Linked DNA regions of Drosophila melanogaster. Changing the gene in region 2 together with the main gene of any one other region gives a genetic interaction. Each region holds a gene or a part of one and is shown on either strand. Other genes may lie near its edges. The genes, in order: His3.3B and BRWD3.

Region 1 (6,798 bases), on a different chromosome or scaffold from region 2:
CGGCAAGGAGGCGGGCAGGCAGGACGCTAGCATATCCGCAATGGGCACCATCTGGTCAAGCACTTGGGCACACTCATTGTAAATGGACAGCGATTCCAGGCATTCGTTTCCGCACGTGCGACAGAAGCTCTCGAATATGTCCATTATGGTTGTTGCTAAGGAATGTTATTCACAATCTAAAATTTGAATTAAAATGTTTTGTTTATAAATTGGCTAGTAAATGTAATCGATTATTAATCAAATCATCGATTTTTTATAATTTCTTGAATTCCTTCTGGTATATTTGTATATATTTTGGCACACCCTACCAGTATTCGGCCACACTGACAGCCAGTCATTTTTTTTTTTCAAGAAAAGCCGGAGAGAATTTTGTGTTTTAGTTGGATAAAATGATGTGGAAGGCTCTCCTGATCGCCGTTTTGGCGATTGCCCACTGCCAGGCGGTACTGGAAACGGACGCCAACACCTTGGTTCTGCTGGACAACCTGGCCATCCGGGAAACCCACTCGATCTTCTTCAAATCGCTGCAGGGTGAGTGAAAATGCCGGTTAACCTCTGACGTGGACAATGAAATGTGTTGATAATTGTTTAACTTTGGGCTACAGATCGCGGATTTAAGCTCACCTACAAACTGGCGGATGACTCCAGCCTGCTGCTGTCCAAATACGGTGAATATCTGTACAAGAACGTCATCATATTCGCACCAAGTGTCGAGGAATTCGGCGGCGATGTGAGCGTGGAGCGTTTGGCCCAGTTCGTCGACGATGGCGGCAATGTTCTGGTGGCGGGCAGCGAGAAATCCGGCGACGCGCTAAGGGAATTCGCCTCCGAGTGCGGCTTCGAGCTGGACGAGGAGAATGCGGCGGTCATTGACCATCTGCACTACGATGTTAGCGATGCTGGCGAGCACACAACCATCCTGACCTCCGCCAAGAATCTTATACAGGCCGACACCATTGTGGGCAAGGCCAACAGGCAGGCGGATGCCGCACCGCTGCTCTATCGCGGTACAGGACTGATTGCCGACAAGGAGAACCCGCTGGTACTCAAGCTGCTGACCGCCGAGAGCACCGCCTATAGCTACAATCCCGAGGCAAGTGTCTCCGACTATCCGCATGCCGTTGGCCGAGGCACGCTGCTAATCGCCGCCCTGCAGGCGAGGAACAATGCCCGCGTAGTGTTCTCCGGCTCGCTGCTCTTCTTCTCTGACGAGAGCTTCACAACGGCCGTGCAGTACGCACAGAGCGGTGTGTTCCACAAGCTGGCCGGTAATCGCGACGTGGCCGAGTCCATTAGCAAGTGGGTATTTGGAGAGACTGGCCGCTTGCGCGTGGCATCCGTGCAACATCACAAGGAGGGCGAGCTGCTGCCACCGGATCAGGCGTACACCATCACCGATCCGGTCGTCTACACCATCGGCATCGAGGAGCTGGTGCAGGGCGAGTGGCGCGCCTTTAAGGCCAGCGACATTCAACTGGAGTTCGTGCGCATCGATCCCTTCGTCCGCACCTATCTGAAGCAAACGAACACGGGCGCCTACCAGGCCAAATTCAAGATACCCGACGTCTACGGCGTTTATCAGTTCAAGGTGGACTACAATCGCGTGGGCTACACGCATCTGTACAGCACCACCCAGGTGTCGGTGCGTCCGCTGGAGCACACACAGTACGAGCGCTTTATCCCGAGCGCATTCCCCTACTACACCAGCGCCTTCTCAATGATGATCGGCGTGTTTGTCTTCTCATTCGTGTTCCTTCACTTCAAGGATGAGCCCGTGGGCAGGGCCGCCAAGGAGGACAAGAAGTCGCAGTAGTATGCACGTTCGTTCAACTCAAATGTAACACACAATGCACTAAAATAAAGTTCTCTGCAGAGAGAAACCCACAATCCATAAAAGAACTTGGCTTTTTTTTTGCTTAATGAAGCTTATATTTCATTAAAATTAGCAGAGTCCAACCCATTAAAACATATTCATTTTTAATCTTAGGTTGGAGTTAAAAAAATTTTAAAAAGTTATAAAAATGTAATTAGCAAAGAACAGAACCAAACTATTTGGCGGGCATGGTCTTGTCAGACAATCGAGTGTAATCGAATACAATCGAAGTAGGCCTTCGCCTACTAGGCTACCATCTCTAGATCTCAACGAAACGAAATCATTGTGAAAATTTCTCTCGTCCGAATTTGTTCGTCTCGTGTTGAAAGTGACAAATTGTGAAGAATAACTTTATTCCGTGTTTAACGGTGAGTTTTTTTTTATTGCTAAATACTTATAATACTAAGTGTGGTTCTTAAAACGCACGTGCTTGTGGCCGCTGAATATGTGCGTGTGTGCACTGTTTTCCAAATTTTTTTTTCGTTGTGAATCGCCTGAGTTTATGTTTTGCCGTTTTTGGGGCTCCGCCGGCCGTCCAGCGGAGCCCTATTTTTCACCGCACACACACAGGCGCATTCTCGCTGGTGGATACATACACAAATACACGAAGATGTGAGAGGTCTCGTATTCGCACGACTGTTGGTTGCATTGTTGTTTTAGTTGTAATGGTGAGGTGCGCTGCTTTTTTTTTTTTTCCAAAATGGCCGCCAAGCAGGAGAATAGCAAGAAATAAAAAAGTTGCAGTCGTTGATGAAATTGGCAAAAAGAAAATTAAAAAAATAAATAAAAACGATTTGCCAATGTGCGAAAACTGGCGCCAAAAAGTATGAGTAATCGTATTTATGCTGGTTGGCATAAACATATAAAAGTTATTTATTTATTTCTTAAGTGGCACGCGCGTTGATGTGTGTGTATACTAAACACGCACATTGGTTAACAAATGCAAATGTGCATGGCTGCGCTTGTCATGCGCAGTGTGTGCCATCTCTCTTTCCCACCGCCAGCTTTTCCCGTATGTTATTGCATAATTGCTTTTTATTTTCTTTTTCCTTTGGCATTCTCTTTTGTGAGGATGTGCAGCTGTCACATCTACACGCACACACATGCTGTTTAGCGGAGAAACGACGCAATTAACTGCTGGCACACCTTTCTTCTCTTTCTAACGCGAACGTGCCCCTATAGGCATCTCCCTTCGACTTGCCGCCTTTCAATGCGCGCCAAGTTTTTACCGCTTGATTTTCCTTCCTTTTGTTTATGTTTACTCTTTTGGCGCTACCAGTCGAAGAATTTTTTTCGTTTTCTTTGGCTTCCTTTTATTTGATATTTTCCTCTTGCCTGCACAAGTAATTATAAATTGAAAACTACAACTCATTACTTCAGCGTGATTGATTCCGCATAAAGCGCGAAAAAAACTCAAGAGGCTGTACATAAAAAGAAGGGGAACACAAAAAACGGCGACTCACGATGTTTGCCCGCGAAGAAAAGAAATGAGATTTTCAAGTGGTCCTCCATCGTGGAACAACTACACAGCGAGAAAAGCAGATGTAATATATCTATACCACCAATTGAGAATTAGATGGTATTCCTATTGCTATTTAGAACGGATAAATTAGGGTTTTTTTATGGACCACCTTTATGAATTATCAGAAATGTTTCTTAAGTTTTTTTAATTATAAGTAATGTGAAAACTTTAGAATCATCTTAGCTAAGCTTCATTTGCACACCAATATAAATATGGATCACACTATTATTTTTCTGAGTGTTTTGCTGCCGAGGCACGATTTATTCCTTTGCCACTGAAGTGGAAGTTTCTCGAGTGCCTCGTTCCCAGAAGATGGGAAAATATTTGAAATGGGGGGCAAGAAGGAAAAGCAGGCAGCTGCCTCAAAAAAATTTCACCTTCAACCCTCGTTATCGTTATGACCACGAACCAAAGTTCCTCGTCAGTTGGCCGCCAGCGCTTCGGCGCTGTGCATCGGTCCAAACTTTGGCTCCCAGCGATATCCATCCGTGTATATCCGTCAAGAGTCCACGACACAGCACAATCGTATCCTGGCCAATTGCATCGTGCACTGCGCCTGTGCTGGACGAATAGTTTAGAGTTTGTGCCCAGTTCATCGAGTTGTCTTTCTCATCTGGCGAGGATCAGCGTGTTTATTTTGGGTACCAACCAAACAATGATTGTAGAAGTGTTTATTTAATCTGTGTCAATCTGGAACGCGCAAAATCTAACATTTGCATTTCCCATTCTCTTAATTGCAGTTTAAAAAAAAAAGCTAAGAAAACATGGCTCGTACTAAGCAGACTGCCCGTAAGTCGACCGGAGGAAAGGCTCCTCGTAAGCAGCTAGCCACCAAGGCTGCCCGTAAATCGGCGCCATCCACCGGCGGAGTGAAGAAGCCCCATCGTTATCGTCCCGGAACTGTGGCTCTTCGTGAGATCCGTCGTTACCAGAAGTCGACCGAGTTGCTCATCCGCAAGCTGCCCTTCCAGCGTCTGGTTCGTGAAATCGCTCAGGATTTCAAGACCGATCTGCGTTTCCAGTCGGCTGCCATCGGTGCCTTGCAGGTGAGAATTATGCTCCAAAGAATCAGAGTGGCTTAACTTAACTAAAAATGACAGGATTCATGGGATTATGAAGGGGGGGCTACTAATATCTAAAAGGAACTTGGTTATCCAACTCATATGAATTTCTCTTGACTTACAGGAAGCATCTGAGGCGTACCTGGTGGGTCTCTTCGAGGACACCAACTTGTGCGCTATCCACGCCAAGCGCGTGACAATCATGCCTAAGGACATCCAGTTGGCGCGCCGCATCCGTGGCGAGCGTGCTTAAGGTGGATCAGCAGGAACGCCAGATTCGATCACTGTCGTCCATTCCCGAACAGTAGACCATTCACGTACCGTTGTAGGAGAGGTGCACGCCAAGGAGCTATACCAGCGACACATTGATCCAATCTATCATTCATATTTACATGTATACATTTATCATCCTTTTGTTGTTCAATCGAATCGTCAGCATGACGTTGTCGATAAGAAAAACACCACACACAAAACAACACACAACATTACTGTAATGCTTAAAAATTATTTTATAACTCTTATTATTACTATTATCAATTAGTTTTTAAGTTTTTTTTCTCGCCTGTGCGTCGTCGGTGTCACCGTGTACGTTGCGCCGTGCTCCTTCTTCTCCAAATCCGGGTCCACCTCTTCGTTTTGGAAGGAGGGAATACCACCGGGCGGCCGTTGTCGCCTGTCCGCCTGCAACATCCGCCACCAACCACTCCAACAACTGTCCAGCTGGCGGGCTTCGGTTTCCAGGTAATCCGTGATCTTTAAGGCGCCTGCCTCGCCTTTATCGCTTCGATCGAGGAGAGGTTCACCATCTGGCTGCCGGGATGTGCGGAGCCTGGAGATCGGGGCCAATCTAACGTCGGCTGGACGTGGCAAGGCGGACAGACGGTTGCGGACCGCCTGGCGGTGATTCCCGGATCTCTGGATGGGCGGCGAGGGCATGGCCGTCTGGCGATGCCACTGACGGCACGCGGCTTTTATGAAGATAATATCCATATATAACACCGAAGACCGAATCGAGTACACTTAACTTTACACTTACGTATATGCATATATATACATAAATACATATATATATAAATATATATATATATATAAATATAAATATAAACCTATGCGGAAGGAAAAGAACTAGATATTAATACTCTTTCTTCTGTTCACTTTTCGTTACTGCAAATCATAATCAGAGCATTATATATATATATATATAGAAGTTATATATATATATATACACATAACGAAGGGATGGGCGTGACAGAGTTAGTTGATTAAATAAGATTTTAGATTTACATGCATTTTATACGTTTAGGCGGACGATAGAAGATGATTCTTCTTCGGGAGATGAAAAAAAGATATAAAGATGATTCAGCAATCAGATTAACTTACACATCTATAGATTTGGAAGAGCATCGAATAAAAATAACCAAGACAGAAATCACATAACAATACAAAATAAAAGCAAAAGCGCCGAGCAGAGCATTGAATATTTCCCAATATTTATATGTAGTTTGAAACACATGCAAAATAATCAATTGTAAACGCCCATAAAACATGCATATATATATATATAAATATACATATAGCTGTAAATTGGTGTCGATAACTAGTTTCACATTGAACATTTAAACAAATCGGACTAAATATGTGTCTATTCGTATCGTCGTAGCTTACAAGAACCAATATGAAAACAGAAAACAAAAAACGAATCCCCCACAAAACACAAAAACAATTTACAACAACAAATCAGTGACAGCAACAGCAAAAATAACTGGAAACATCAGCAAAAAAAAAAAAGAAAATAAAAAATAAACGGTTTTTTCTATAGAAGAAACCAAAAAAACCCAACACCAACGAATTGTATTTTCTGCGAAAGCGAGACGGGAATAGTGTGTACGAGCGGGCGGGATAGGTGGCGATGGTACAGTTGACTCCAAAAATCGAAACCAAACGTCATTTGCTTTGTTTACGTGTGTTAATCTCGGTGCGTGCGTGTGTATGTGTGTTACTCTTGCTCGTTTCTGTGTGTGCAAGTTTGGCTGGCTGCAGCTGTATGTGTGTGGGTGGCTTTGGCGCTGCCCCCTTTTTTTTGTTTGTCTTTGATTTGCGTTTTCAAGGCTGCTATTAACTGGCGCCACCTAGCGGTGGTTCTGTGCCACAGGCGCCCAATAAGTGTTAATAAACCCCTTTGTTCGTAAGCTAAGACGCCCAATAGGGGTTAAGGGCTTATCTTTGTAATTAAATGTTGATATTTATAATAATGTACATTGAAGCAATAATTTATTTAATTTAAGTTACCAATGTTTTCCATCTTTTTGTCAGTGTAAATATCGTTATAACTCAAGCATACC
Region 2 (4,955 bases):
CTCTTCTCCTCCGCCTCCTCCTGGCGGGAATCGATCTCCGGTTCAGCCTCTGGACGCTTTTCGGGTGTCTTCTCGCGTCTGTTAAAAATAATGGGGCTCTTAGCTTTTCGTGGTGGAGCCTCCAATTTCGGGGGATCCTCTTCTGGCTCCTGGTCTACAGACTCCTCCCTCGCGCTCAAGTTCAACAGATCCTCATCATATTCATCGCTTTCATCCCCGATCTCGCCAATCTGGCGTAAATGCTTCTTGGCTGCATGAATTTTCTTTTGGATTTCGGCCAGCTCAGCGAGGTCTTTTTGCCGGTTAACACCGATAGTAGTTGAGATGATCTCAGACACAGCGGGCACATCCAGCGCCCTATTGGCCGATGCATCCTCATCCTCGATGGACTTGCGATTTTTCTTTTTGTGCAGGATCTCGTCTTTGGCACTGAGATCAATGTCCATGGTTTTCTTTGCCTTCTCGAGAAGCTCTTCGGCAAAAACATCCGTGATGGAACTGACAATTGGCATGGCATCTGAGGAACTTGGCTGTGGTTCCGACAGCTCATCTCCGGACTTTCGGTGCGGTCGCTTATCCTTCTTGGATCCTTTTTTGTCCTTCTCCTGACCGCGAGACTTGCGCTTCTTGCTGGAAGCTGAAAAAATTGGAGTTAGTGGGTGCTTAAGTATGATGAGCATATCCATCATACCACTGGATGTGGGGAGTGTGACCTCTTGGAGCTTTTGCAGCACTTCGTGCAGCCAGGTGACAAAGAGGTCAGTTTGATCGCCTAGGAATAGATTCAGCTCGGCGTTCATCTGCTGTTTGGTGCGCTTGTTGGCCACCATGACCATGACGTAGTCCGGCAATTCATCGTCTATAAAACCGGCCGATCCTCCGGTTCCCAGCTCCAGCAGCTTTGCCTTTACGGCGCTCTATTAATGAAGTGCAAAAATATATATAGTATTGGAGTATCCAATCCGAGCGGTATCCATAACGAGTTCATTGATTTTTTTCCAATGACTTACGCGCATCTTCTGACCAATCTCGCTGCCCAGATTGCACTCCATGTTTGCTGGTTTATCTATCGCCTTTTTCGCTGTTTATTCGCCGCGAGCATTTATTATTTACGCTTACTTTGTGGCTACACTCCACTTTTTGTTACATTAGAAAATGGCAAAACCTCCCAAAAAAAAAAAATATCGCAGCTGCTCCGATATTCATAACTAGTGGTGTGCGTTTGACATTAAGGGTATTCACGTTTAATTCACACGTTTTATAATGTATATATCGATTTTCTATAAACATAGCTTTAAAATAATAAATAGTTACAGAAATTTCATTTGAAATTAAAATGGCAAATTAAAAACTTCTGAAATTTAAAAATGCTCCTGGCCATGGCCATGAACTGAAGTGCAACATAACTTCAAAATAATCAACACCAATGGGACAATTTAAAAATATAAAAAGATTTCACTTGTTATTCATTAAATCATAAGTCTAGTTATCAAGAATTTGTGTAGTAGCTATTAAATTACATTCGAAAATTAAAAGCGAATAATTGCAAACAGTTTATTTAATCACATAGCTAAATATAAATTTCATAATAAGCTTAAATTCCAAACCAATGGCTACGAATATGTTTGACTGAGAATTAAAATTCTCAATTTGAAGTAAATATCTTAGATTGTAGAATCCTGCGAAGCATTTCAGTGCATCATCTCAAATTCAAATACGAAAATTGGCTCCTTCGGCTAAGACTCGATACCCATCTTGTGAGCCCCGCCACCAACTATCGATACGCAAAGGCATTTCATTCGGTGGGAATGGCAATCGAGTGTCACACGGGAAGAAGAAGCTGCGAAAAGAATTTTAGAAGAAAGCAACTGCAATTTTGTCATAATCGGAGCTGCAATTCGCAATGAATAATGGAAACTAGACAACCCAGTTCCGGTGATGATCTAAAGCCAGGTGCGTACCGCCCGGTGGCGCAGCGAGTGCGTCCAACGGGGCTACCAAAGGCAGCCCCTTTGACTTTGTGAAATGTGTGTCTGTGTTTCGCTCGCCCTTCGAATCGAATGGCTGCGTTTTTTCGACTGCGTTTCGCCAAGCGAAATTCACGGGCCCCTTTGGCCAGATATATCTGGAATATTGACGACTCCCAGCGAGCGCATTTTCGACAACTTGTTGCACTAAAACCCGTGAAATCCTCTATCTTGCAGAGCTGTACTTCCTCATTTCCAAGTTCCTGGCCGCGGGACCGCTGGAGGAGACGGCGAAGGTGGGTTGAAAGCAGCGCTCGCGCGAGATCGCATTGGAATCGTATTTCGCGCTAAAAGAGCGGAATTTCGTTTTGTTTACAAACATTTACATTAATTCTGAAACTAAATTCTATCCAACTGTAGGTCTTGATCCGGGAACTCGAAGAGAAGAAGGTGAGTTTTGTTGGTGCTGCAGCTGTGTTTTTGGCACAGATATTTCGGACTCGAATTGAGAGGGGGGCCAAAAAAAAAATAGAAAACCGCGTTTGTTTATACGCTTTGTTTTGGTTTTGTTGTTGTTTCTGCTGCCGGCAGCGAACGACGAAAAACCCACTTGTACGTCCGCTTGTCTCAGAGTTGGGAATCAGACTGAATTGTGGATTTGCTGGGGCCACGTGAATATATAGTCCATTAAAAAAAGAAGAGAAAAACATGAAAAAAGAAATGGAATCATAGGGATGCCCCCGCGACGTCATCGTCGACGTCACGGAGTGCAAGTGATAAGAGTCATACATGCATGCATATATATTTACACCCGTCTATATATACGTACACCTTTCGATTCCCAGGTTTTGCCGCGTCGTCTCGATTGGCAGGGAAACGAGCATGAGCAGACCTTTGAGGAATTGGTGAGTGTTTTCATAATTAATCAATTAGCTTTTCAAAGTTATCGTTTAATGCCTTTTGATCGGCATTTAAGTCTTGCGTAAGTGTGCGTCTGCTGCGGCATTTTCCGTCTCAGTCGTTCGCTCGCCTTTGTGACGTCATCGTGTCAGGGAATAGAGAAAAAGTTGCACATCAAAATTCAAGTTGTTAATTTAAAAAACATTACAACTAAAGACATCAATCATTCTGACTGTTAAATTAACAAATAAGTAAGCAACTATTTAATTAAAAAGGCAGCAAAAAATTGCAAAAATTCGTAAAAGACTAAAGTGGAAAGCAAAAATTCTAAAACCCTCGTAAAAATTGTAAATTTTGAAAAATCTTAATTTTTTAAACAAATGCTTTGTAATTTAGTTTTAACAATTAGCTGCAACCAGCCGACATTTTGGTTTCTCACACATACACATGCCCATGCGCACAGACACATGCAAGCAACCACCACTTTGCCTTGACTTGTGCGCGAGGGAACGAGACAAGCATACGTTGTTGAAGCTATCGCACCGTTTATCGCCCAATCGATAGGAATACGTTAAATTTTGATTTTGAATTCGCAGGAACGAAAGTACAAGCACATTGGCGCCAATCACTTGCTTGAAATATGCAGTCGTCTGGGTCCACTGGTGGATCGCGAGCTTCCGCCCAGTGTTCCGGGCATCAACTCGCTGTTGGGTACTGGGCGCCAGAACCTCCTGCGCACCAAGGAAACCGTCTACTGCCATCGCTCCTTAAGGGACTACTGCACCCGCCTGAATGGAGTCTCGCTGCCGGATTCGGTCCTTACAAAGCCGACCCACAACTTAGGTTAGTTGCATGGTAGAGTTTTATTCGCATATTAGAGACTAACCCATTTATATTTCCAAAGATCGCGTTCTAACTGGACGGGAACACGGCGGGGAAGTCCGTCGCAAGCTCCTCGTGCCCACGGACCTCTACCGCCGAACAAAATTGCTCCGTCGCACTGTGGGCCACCTGTCCTCAGTGTACTGTGTTCTGTTTGATCGCACAGGAAGATACATCATCACCGGAGCCGATGATCTACTTATTAAGATATGGTCAGCGGCAGATGGCCGCCTGCTGGCCACTCTGCGAGGCGCCTCATCCGAGATTACAGACATAGCCATTAACTTGGACAATACGATGCTGGCTGCCGGGTCATTGGATCACATACTAAGAGTGTGGGACATGCAAACCACATCACCCATCGCCGTACTGTCTGCTCACACGGGCATGATAACTTCGGTTAACTTTTGTCCGTCGCCACGTAGCGATCTGAAATATCTGGTGACTACCAGCACAGATGGATCGATCGCCTTCTGGCAATACTCAACGCCGCGCGGGCAAAAGATCACGTTTGCCCCGAAGCCAACGCAGTATCATGAGAAACTGCGGCCCGGACAAGCTCAGATGATGTGTACCACCTTTTCGCCAGGAGGCATTTTTCTGGCCGCTGGGTCTGCCGATCACCATGTGCGCGTCTATATGATGGGCGAGGACGGTCCGAAGCGAATATTGGAGACGGAAGCTTACACAGATGCCGTGGACTCGGTGCAGTGGTCGCATCGTGGACTGAGATTTATATCGGGGAGCAAGGACGGCACAGCACACATCTGGACGTTTGAGTCGCAGCAGTGGAAAAGTTCCAAACTATGCATGACGGAGCGTCTGGCCAGGTGAGTGCGATTTTCTTTAAAATGTTTCTAGCTAGTAAGGAATTCTCTGAAAACTAATAGCTTTGTAATTAAATTGCAGCTGCCCGGAACCAGAGGAGGGAAAGAGGCTTAAGGTAACCATGGTGGCTTGGGATGCCTCGGACCGTTATGTCATCACCGCCGTAAACGATTTTACTGTAAGCATCCGTCTTAAAACGTGCTAAACATTTACTTATAATTAATAATCCCATTTAAAAACAGATAAAAATCTGGGACTCGAAGTCAGCCAAGCTGCATCGTGTTCTGCGTGGGCACAAGGATGAGCTTTATGTGCTTGAGTCGAACCCAAGAGATGAGCATGTCCTGCTTTCCGCCGGGCACGATGGCCAGGTATTTC

Evidence for each region.
Region 1: of BRWD3 (region 2) and His3.3B, changing one suppresses a phenotype caused by changing the other (phenotypic suppression), as found in Drosophila melanogaster (one study listed by BioGRID).

Annotation. Positions count from the first base shown.
Region 1 is NC_004354.4:9,152,023-9,158,820, reverse strand, and holds His3.3B (histone H3.3B), read left to right. Parts: upstream 1-2,151; 5' UTR 2,152-2,241; intron 2,242-3,207; exon of another isoform or gene 3,208-3,417; intron 3,418-3,808; exon of another isoform or gene 3,809-4,036; intron 4,037-4,135; 5' UTR 4,136-4,159; coding exon 4,160-4,441; intron 4,442-4,580; coding exon 4,581-4,709; 3' UTR 4,710-6,298; downstream 6,299-6,798. Other genes in the region: Dlip1 (dorsal interacting protein 1), read right to left, coding at 1-144; Ost48 (oligosaccharyltransferase 48kD subunit), read left to right, coding at 390-531, 606-1,813.
Region 2 is NT_033777.3:24,317,205-24,322,159, forward strand, and holds the start of BRWD3 (BRWD3), read left to right. Parts: upstream 1-1,795; 5' UTR 1,796-1,910; coding exon 1,911-1,953; exon of another isoform or gene 1,954-2,204; coding exon 2,205-2,263; exon of another isoform or gene 2,264-2,387; coding exon 2,388-2,417; exon of another isoform or gene 2,418-2,578; intron 2,579-2,812; coding exon 2,813-2,872; intron 2,873-3,463; coding exon 3,464-3,710; intron 3,711-3,771; coding exon 3,772-4,579; intron 4,580-4,658; coding exon 4,659-4,755; intron 4,756-4,819; coding exon 4,820-4,955. Other genes in the region: Nab2 (nuclear polyadenosine RNA-binding 2), read right to left, coding at 1-637, 692-917, 1,011-1,052.